2 linked regions of the Cricetulus griseus genome follow. Each later gene encodes a partner of the first gene's protein in a complex. Links are inferred from orthologs where the notes say so. Each region holds a gene or a part of one and is shown on either strand. Other genes may lie near its edges.

Region 1 (3,651 bases):
ACAAGCATGAACCATTATGCCTTTCAGAAAGATACTTTTAAATGAATTCATGCCAGCCAGATAAAGCATTGTGGGTGTATACCAAATGTATAGATTGGCAGGTTGGGGGCCAACATGTGAGCAGTGAAACTGAAATGCCATAGCTTTATATCAACACAGGATATGGACAATCCCATTTGAACCTTAAACATGCTAAATGTAAGACTGGAAGTCTTCAACAAATGTTGGCAAACTAAGAAGTTGGAGATGTAGCTCAGTGGGCCTAGTACCCAGCACGCACAGTGAATGCTGGGCAGCTGTGGCAATCAGCCTGTGCTTGGGTGGTGGAGACAGGATCCTAGGGTTAAGCTGGCTTGCTACATTAAACCATCAGACTTTCTGCTTCAATATGGCAAGTGGGAAAGTGGCTAAGGAAGAGACAAGTATTGATCTTCAGCCTAAACAAATTGGTGCATGCGCGCGCGCACACACACACCCCTACCTACCTATCCATCCATGTGCGTATATACACATGAGCATGCATGTAAACCACACACATGCAACTGGCAAACCACAGCCTAGAATCCAAACTCAGCCAAATGATTGGTTTTGTAAATACATTTTTATAGGAATACAAGACATTTATGCATCATGTTTGGCTGTTTGAAACTGTAACAGCAGGTTTGAGTGGTTGTCACAGAGACCATATGGCCTACCAAGTTTAAAATGTGTGTTGTCTGACCTTTTACAGAACAACTGCTGGCCTCTGTATGTTCTTATGGTGATTATTAAATATGTAGCAACACATTCAATTCTGTCAGGGAACTGGAGGTGGAGTTGCAAGGATGTAGAATCTCATTTAAATGTTTTGCTGGATGTATTTTAAATTCCATTTGCTCAGAATTCCTCAAAAGTACCTGATTTTGTATTGATGAAACACTATTATTTCCCTGTTGGCAGCAACTTTATATTCCCAAGTAAAACTTAACTCTCAGTGTCCAAATGATTTTGAGTTCCCAGTCGTCTTCTGCATAGTCATCTTTTGGATAACTCAGCTGAAGCCAGTCTTTCTTCATAATGCTTTTAGTTCTCTAATAGAGATGAGCACAGTGAGAGCTGCACCCATAGCTCCCACTTGTGAGTCTCCCTAGAACACAGGCAGGCCACTTCTTTTCGTGAAAATTAGTAATTATATGTTCAGAGTGGTATGAGGCCTGAAGTTAGTTTTTAAATATGAAAATTATCACATTGCTAGTGCATGCCTTTAATCCCAGAACTCAGGAGGCAAAGGCAAGAAAATCTCCTGAGTTGAGGCCAGCCTGGTCTACAGAGTGAGTTCCAGGACTCACTGGAAACCCTGTCTTGGGGGAAAAGAAAAGAATTATTACATTGCACTTATGTTATGTGGGGAATAGGGCGCATATGGAGGTTAGAGAACAAGTTAGGGGAGTCAGGTCTCTCATTCCACCATGTGAGTCCTGGGGACTGAATTCAGGCTGTCAGATTTGATATGCACCTTTACCCATTGAGCCGTCTTGCTGGCCTGAAACAAAAGTTTTATAAATTCTGCATGAATCCCAGGTAGAATCAATTTGTTTTCCTGAACAACAGATTGGGGGTGGGGATATGAGTGTGGGTGCTGGAGGAGACCAAGAGAGCAGTGAAACCTTCTGGAGCTTCGGTTGCAGTCATGAGCAGCCCACCTGGGTGAGAGGAACCTCTGCAGGAACAGCGAGTATTCTTACTTAACCACTGAGCCGGGTCTGCAGCCCCACAGGGTTTGAGTCTTGGTTTTTGGAGTTTGTTTTTTGTATGATGAGAAGCTGTTTACCTAGAAATGTCAAATACTAGAGCTCAGCTGGGACCCAGCACCTATCAGGCACAGTTCTGTGCTTATATTCCCAGGCGCTCACACTTGAGTTTCTCACTGCATTCTCCAGAGTTCAGTACTATTCGACCTCATTGTGTACATGGTGAAACTAACTCACAAAGAAAGCAAGTAACACTTAGGGTTACATATCTGAACCCAGGCAGGCTGGCACAGGACATGCCCTACTGTCTGCCTTGCTGTTCACAAGGAGGATGTTGATGCCTGCTAACATGTATGTGGTTGACACAGTGGGGCTCAGCTGGAGCTCAGTATGAGAGCAACTTGGAGGAAAACCTGCACATTGTACATTTATATGGTATATCAAGGCAGAAGTGGTTTCAGCTCGATGCTGTGGCTCCTTAACAGTCAGGAATGTGTTGAGGAACCTCCTCTGAACATACTGCTTTGTGAGGCAGGTGTGAGAGTGTGAAAACCTGAGCATGTGTTTAGGAGACAACACGCTTCAACTTGGAAAGCCCTGCTCAATATAATTTAAAACAGGTAGGGGGAAGCTAAGATCAGTGAACAGAAATTCCCAGTACCCTTTCTTCTGGCCACTTTCTTGGGTAGTGGTTATTTATTGTCTTGTTCACTTTCAAACCAGTCTCTCTAGTCTCACAATGACTATAAGATGGGTTGTTGTTTGTTACTGAAGTCTTAATAATAATGCAATGGTCTAAATGTGTCCTCAGCTTCTCGGTGAACTGCTGTTAGATAGACACAACTTCACGATTATGACGAAGTACATCAGTAAACCTGAGAACCTCAAGTTAATGATGAACCTCCTCCGAGACAAGAGCCGAAACATCCAGTTTGAGGCCTTTCACGTGTTCAAGGTGGGCTGCACTGACAAACAGCGCTTTCCTCTAAAACTGTTCATTACAGTTACTAATACTGCCTGGTTTCAGTAACCCACACGGTACTCAGTTTAGTCAGCATGTTTGAACGGAAGCAGGGACCTGGAAATGGGCGGACCATTTGGGCTTGAGAATAAGCAAGCACAGTCGGAGAGGAGCCTCATTATCTTCAGCATGCACCCAAGGTTATTCAGAGACAGCGGTTCCCTTGCTGCCCTCCTCCCCCGCCCATCTAGGCTGGCCTCCCATTCCAAGTCTCTCTGCGGCCGATTGAGTGAGGAAGTGAGGGCCAGGCCCAGGCAGAGTATTTTGTGATGCTTAGTGGAGGGCTATGTGTGTGGTTGGGGTGGGGTGGTATCAGTATTTAGTTCTAACTACTATGTTTCAGAGTTGGCAATCTCTGTGCTAAAGCATGTGATCATTATTATTTCCCCATATCATGTAAAAATAAGCTCTTCTAAAGCAAAAACCAGGAGCTTGTGGGGTGGATGTTGACTGCTTCTCGGACCTACACGGTTTTCTCTTATGCAGGTGTTTGTGGCCAACCCCAACAAGACACAGCCCATCCTAGACATCCTCCTCAAGAACCAGACCAAACTCATTGAGTTCCTCAGCAAGTTTCAGAACGACAGGACGGAGGACGAGCAGTTCAATGATGAGAAGACCTATTTAGTCAAACAGATCAGGGATTTGAAGAGACCAGCTCAGCAAGAAGCCTAATTTCCAATAAACGCCTATGATATCCCTTCCAACTTCAGCACTTGCTGTTAGCTACTCAGCATCAGGCACTCTTATCGATTCATGAGGAACATTACTGCTAATCTGCTGTTAAGTGAACGGTTTTCATTTTACCTTTTTGTTTTTCAGTCCAGGTTGGAGAACGTAGCTGCTGCTTGCACATTAGAGCGCACATGGTCTTTCCCTTGATCTCTGTGTCATTTCAGA
Region 2 (3,651 bases), on another chromosome or scaffold:
TGACCCAAAAGAAAACGCCTGACATCTACCACTGAGCTACACTTCCAGCCCAGAGTAGGCTTCTATTCCCACTCTTTATGTAGTCAACTGCTATTAGCTTTTAAGGCTAGACTAGGGGCTGCAGAGATGGCTCAGTGGTTAAGGAAGCTTGCTGCTCTTACAGAGAACCTGAGTTTGGTTCCTAGCATCCATGTTGGGTGGCTTTCAAGTGTGTGACGCCAGATCCAGGAGCTCTGATGCCCTCTTCTGAACTCCTTAGGCAATGGCACATGTGCACACAAATTTTTTTTTTTCTTTTAAAGTCTTAGACAAAGTATTTTCACCCCCTAGAAGTTCCTTTGGTCCCTGCTGACTCAATCATTCTCTAGCTTCAACCTGTGACCCCAAGGTGAGCAGTGTGTGAGCCTGAGGAGGGAGGCCTGCTCACAGGTTTTTACCTCCTCCTAGTTCTACATCTTGCTCCAGGCACCTGAGATTCAAGTAACACTTGCCCAGACAATCCCAACTCCATTTCCTGGGTATGGTAGGACCTGAATAAGTTTCTTCTCTAGGTCTGCCAGTCCACGAGCAGGCTATGCCACTGGCCTGAACGGTGGCCAAAAGGCAGGCATGTTCAGGGGTCTACAGAATGCAGGTTCTACAGTGTGTTTCAGAGCACAGTGCACACAACCAGAGATGCCTGGGATTTGAAACTGAACGCTGATCTTTTGTACTTATCAAGGGAGAAAGATAGGACATAGCTGATGAGTTTATAAGGATCGGGCAGCTTAGCTGGGCATGGTGGTACATGCCTATAATCAAAAAACTTGGAAGCTGAGGCAGGAGGATTGCTCTAAGTTCAAAATTGATCAGCAGTTTATACAGTTTGCATAGCCATACAGTATCATGTGTTAATGTGCCTCTGTCGGCACTCACTGTCCTACTTGCCCCACCCTATGGGTTGGGCTCTGTGACCACAATATTTATCACCAGAGAAGGGAACAAAGAATTGCACAAACACCCCTCCACCAAGTGGGTGGAAAACTTCTTGAAGAAAAAAGACCATCATGTTATTAACTGTAGTCAGAGTCCCAGTGTGGCAGGAAGCAACAGACATTTGTGGAAGGCAGACAGGACTGCACTTACCTGAGTGGCAGGCATATCCTTGAAGGGGACATGGCCATTAGCTAGTTCACACGCTGTGATCCCCACACTGTAGATGTCAGACTTGGCATCATAACCCTGAAGATTCTAAGAAAGAAGAAAAAAGTCAAAGGTGGCTCCATTTGCAGCCCTGGCCTTTCTTTAAATAAGAAGGAATAAAAACTGAGGAGGCGATGAATGCCCATCCCAGTCAGGATCCAGAGCTGACCATGCTCCTCCTTCTGCTGCAGACAACTGCTATGTGAGGACAGCAAACGGTTGGCGCTGCTGTGAAATGAGCAGGCACACTGGAATGGGTGCACCTGCTGGCACCAAGTATTTCCAGAATGCTCTCTACCCACAGGGTGGGAAGTGTCCCTGAGACAGACACTAGTGTCAAGTTAGGGACCTCACACATCCACAGCAGGCAGGCAATGCCCATGCTGAGTGGGTGCTAAGACACACCTGGCCAACAGGATGCTTCCTCCAGAACCTCTTACTCTACCAGAATCAGGGAGAAACTCCACCCCAGCAAATTCTTGGGCCTCCCTGGGCCCAAGGACACAGACCTGCTGGAGGACTTCTGGGCTGAGCCATGGCAGGACCTTGACGCTATATTTTGGAAAATCATGGACCGCACGCTGCCGCTGCCCGTGGCTGATCATGCTGAGGTTACTGCGTAGACCAGACAGGTAGACCTTCCCATCCATGGAAATCAGAATGTGGCTGGCCTTGACACTCCTGAGGGGGAGATGAATACATGTGCATGCCCAATGCTCTTGGACCTGGCCAGCTCTCCCCCATGTGCAAATCCCATGCATATAAGTGCAACTCATACATACATACATCTATGGCCATTTTCAAACATACCTAAAAATAAGAAAATAACATGGCCCCATTCATGTACCACTAGATTTTGTTTGTTTATGTTTATTTTGTGCATGGTTTTGAGACTGGGTCCTCTCTGTAACCTTGGCTATCCTGAAAACCACTCTGTAGATCAGGATGGCCTTGAACTCATAGAGATTGACCTGCCTCTGCCTCCAGAATGCTGGGATTAAAGGTATGTGCCACCACACCCAGACGTTTAGGTTGGTTTTTAATTATGTGTACACGTATCTGTATGTGAGATGTGCAATGCCCAAGGAGGGCTAGAAGACAGTGCCAGAGCCCCTGGAGTTGGAGTTATAGTCCATAGTGAACAACCCAATGTAGATGCTGGGAACCAAAAAGTCTTCTGCAAAAGTAGTAGACTTTCTTACCCACTGAGCTGTTTCTGCAGCTTAGAGATTTATTTATTTTTTATTTTAGTTATGTGTATGGGGGTGTGGGAGTGGGTGTGTGCATGTGCCTGCAGGGGCCCGAGTTGTCAGATCTCTTGGAGCTAGAATTACAGACAATTGTGACCCACCCAATGTAGGTGCTGGGATCTCTGTGCTCTTAACTGCTACTCCAGCCCTATGAGATATATATATATATATATATATATATATATATATATATATATAATTTTTTTTTTGAGACAGGGTTTCTCTGTAAGCCTCTTTGGAGGCTGTCCTGGAACTCGCTCAGTAGACCAGGCTGGCCTTGAACTCACAGAGATCTGCCTGCCTCTGCCTCCCAAGTGCTGGGATTAAAGGTGGCGCCACCACTGCCCAGCTTATATTTGAAAACTTGGTATGTCGCTAGTATCAAAGCACCCTCCAAATGTGTGTCTTTCCCCCACACACTGAGAGATTAGTGCTCTCACCCTCATCAGAGAAGTCTCTGTGCCGGGTCCTGACTAATACAGACACTCAAGCTGGTCAGTGTGGTCAGTTAGTGTCTATGGGGTGAGTGCTCAGCACAAATGGCCATCTCTATCACTCTCCTCTCACCGAGGCTGGGGACCATTGCAAAAAAAAAAAAAAAAAAAAAAAAGGATGGAAAGACTGTAAGAGCAGAGGTAGGGAAGAACTGACCAAAACAGTGTCCTCTGGACACATACGACCACTGCACTCATGAACTCACGGAAACTGTGGCTGCCTGAATAGGACCCTAGCATTCTAGCATGGAGGAGAGAGGCGCTCAAGAGCCTCTGCCCCTAACTGACAGGCTGATGGCTTCTGGGGGAGGGAAAGTCAGTTTTATTTAACAGTGAGGCCCCTGGCGTATCAGCCATGTTCCGATAGATAGTCCCAGCCAGCCTGGAACTCATTATGTAGTCTAGGCTGTCCCCAAAGCCTTAATGCTCTGAGATCTGCTCTCTTACAGGCATGCACCACCATACCAGGAGGACTAATGATTTTTGTTTGCTGTGTAGCCTTGGTTGTCCTGGAACTCACTCTGTAGACCAGGCTGGCCTTGAACTCACAGACATCTGCCACTCGTGCTCCAGCCTGGCTCCTACTTGTACTTTTACTTTTTGTTCTTGGGCATTCTTGGGAAGTGTATTGTGTGCTTTTGATTTACCTCATTGCTTTCTGTTAAGCAATTCACTCCTTTCTCACTCAGTACTGACTTCAAGACTCATCCTTGTTGCCATCTGTA

What was found.
Region 2: the proteins of Cab39 (region 1) and Strada are in contact, whole or in part, in a crystal structure (PDB 3GNI), measured with the Homo sapiens proteins. The link is inferred for Cricetulus griseus from reciprocal best matches to the Homo sapiens genes CAB39 and STRADA. Residues at the interface, in NP_001124321.1 of Homo sapiens: Leu26, Glu27, Lys28, Gln29, Tyr55, Gly56, Thr57, Asn58, Ala85, Asp86, Gln88, Leu89, Phe92, Glu93, Lys96, Arg107, Glu138, Leu141, Ile145, Ser176, Thr177, Phe178, Asp179, Ser182, Asp183, Glu221, Asn222, Tyr223, Val224, Arg227; in NP_001003787.1 of Homo sapiens: Pro64, Leu104, Glu105, Cys107, Ser108, Asn109, Val112, Gln116, Leu119, His120, Lys123, Leu124, Phe125, Asn126, Thr136, Phe137, Ile138, Asp140, Asn141, Leu143, Tyr185, Met189, His223, Gly224, Arg226, Val426, Asp427, Asp428, Trp429, Glu430.

Annotation. Positions count from the first base shown.
Region 1 is NC_048595.1:437,538,261-437,541,911, forward strand, and holds part of Cab39 (calcium-binding protein 39), read left to right. Parts: intron 1-2,541; coding exon 2,542-2,685; intron 2,686-3,237; coding exon 3,238-3,426; 3' UTR 3,427-3,651. UniProt on the Homo sapiens protein: Component of a complex that binds and activates STK11/LKB1. In the complex, required to stabilize the interaction between CAB39/MO25 (CAB39/MO25alpha or CAB39L/MO25beta) and STK11/LKB1.
Region 2 is NC_048600.1:119,105,041-119,108,691, forward strand, and holds part of Strada (STE20-related kinase adapter protein alpha), read right to left. Parts: intron 1,864-3,651; coding exon 1,692-1,863; intron 1,231-1,691; coding exon 1,126-1,230; intron 1-1,125. UniProt on the Homo sapiens protein: Pseudokinase which, in complex with CAB39/MO25 (CAB39/MO25alpha or CAB39L/MO25beta), binds to and activates STK11/LKB1.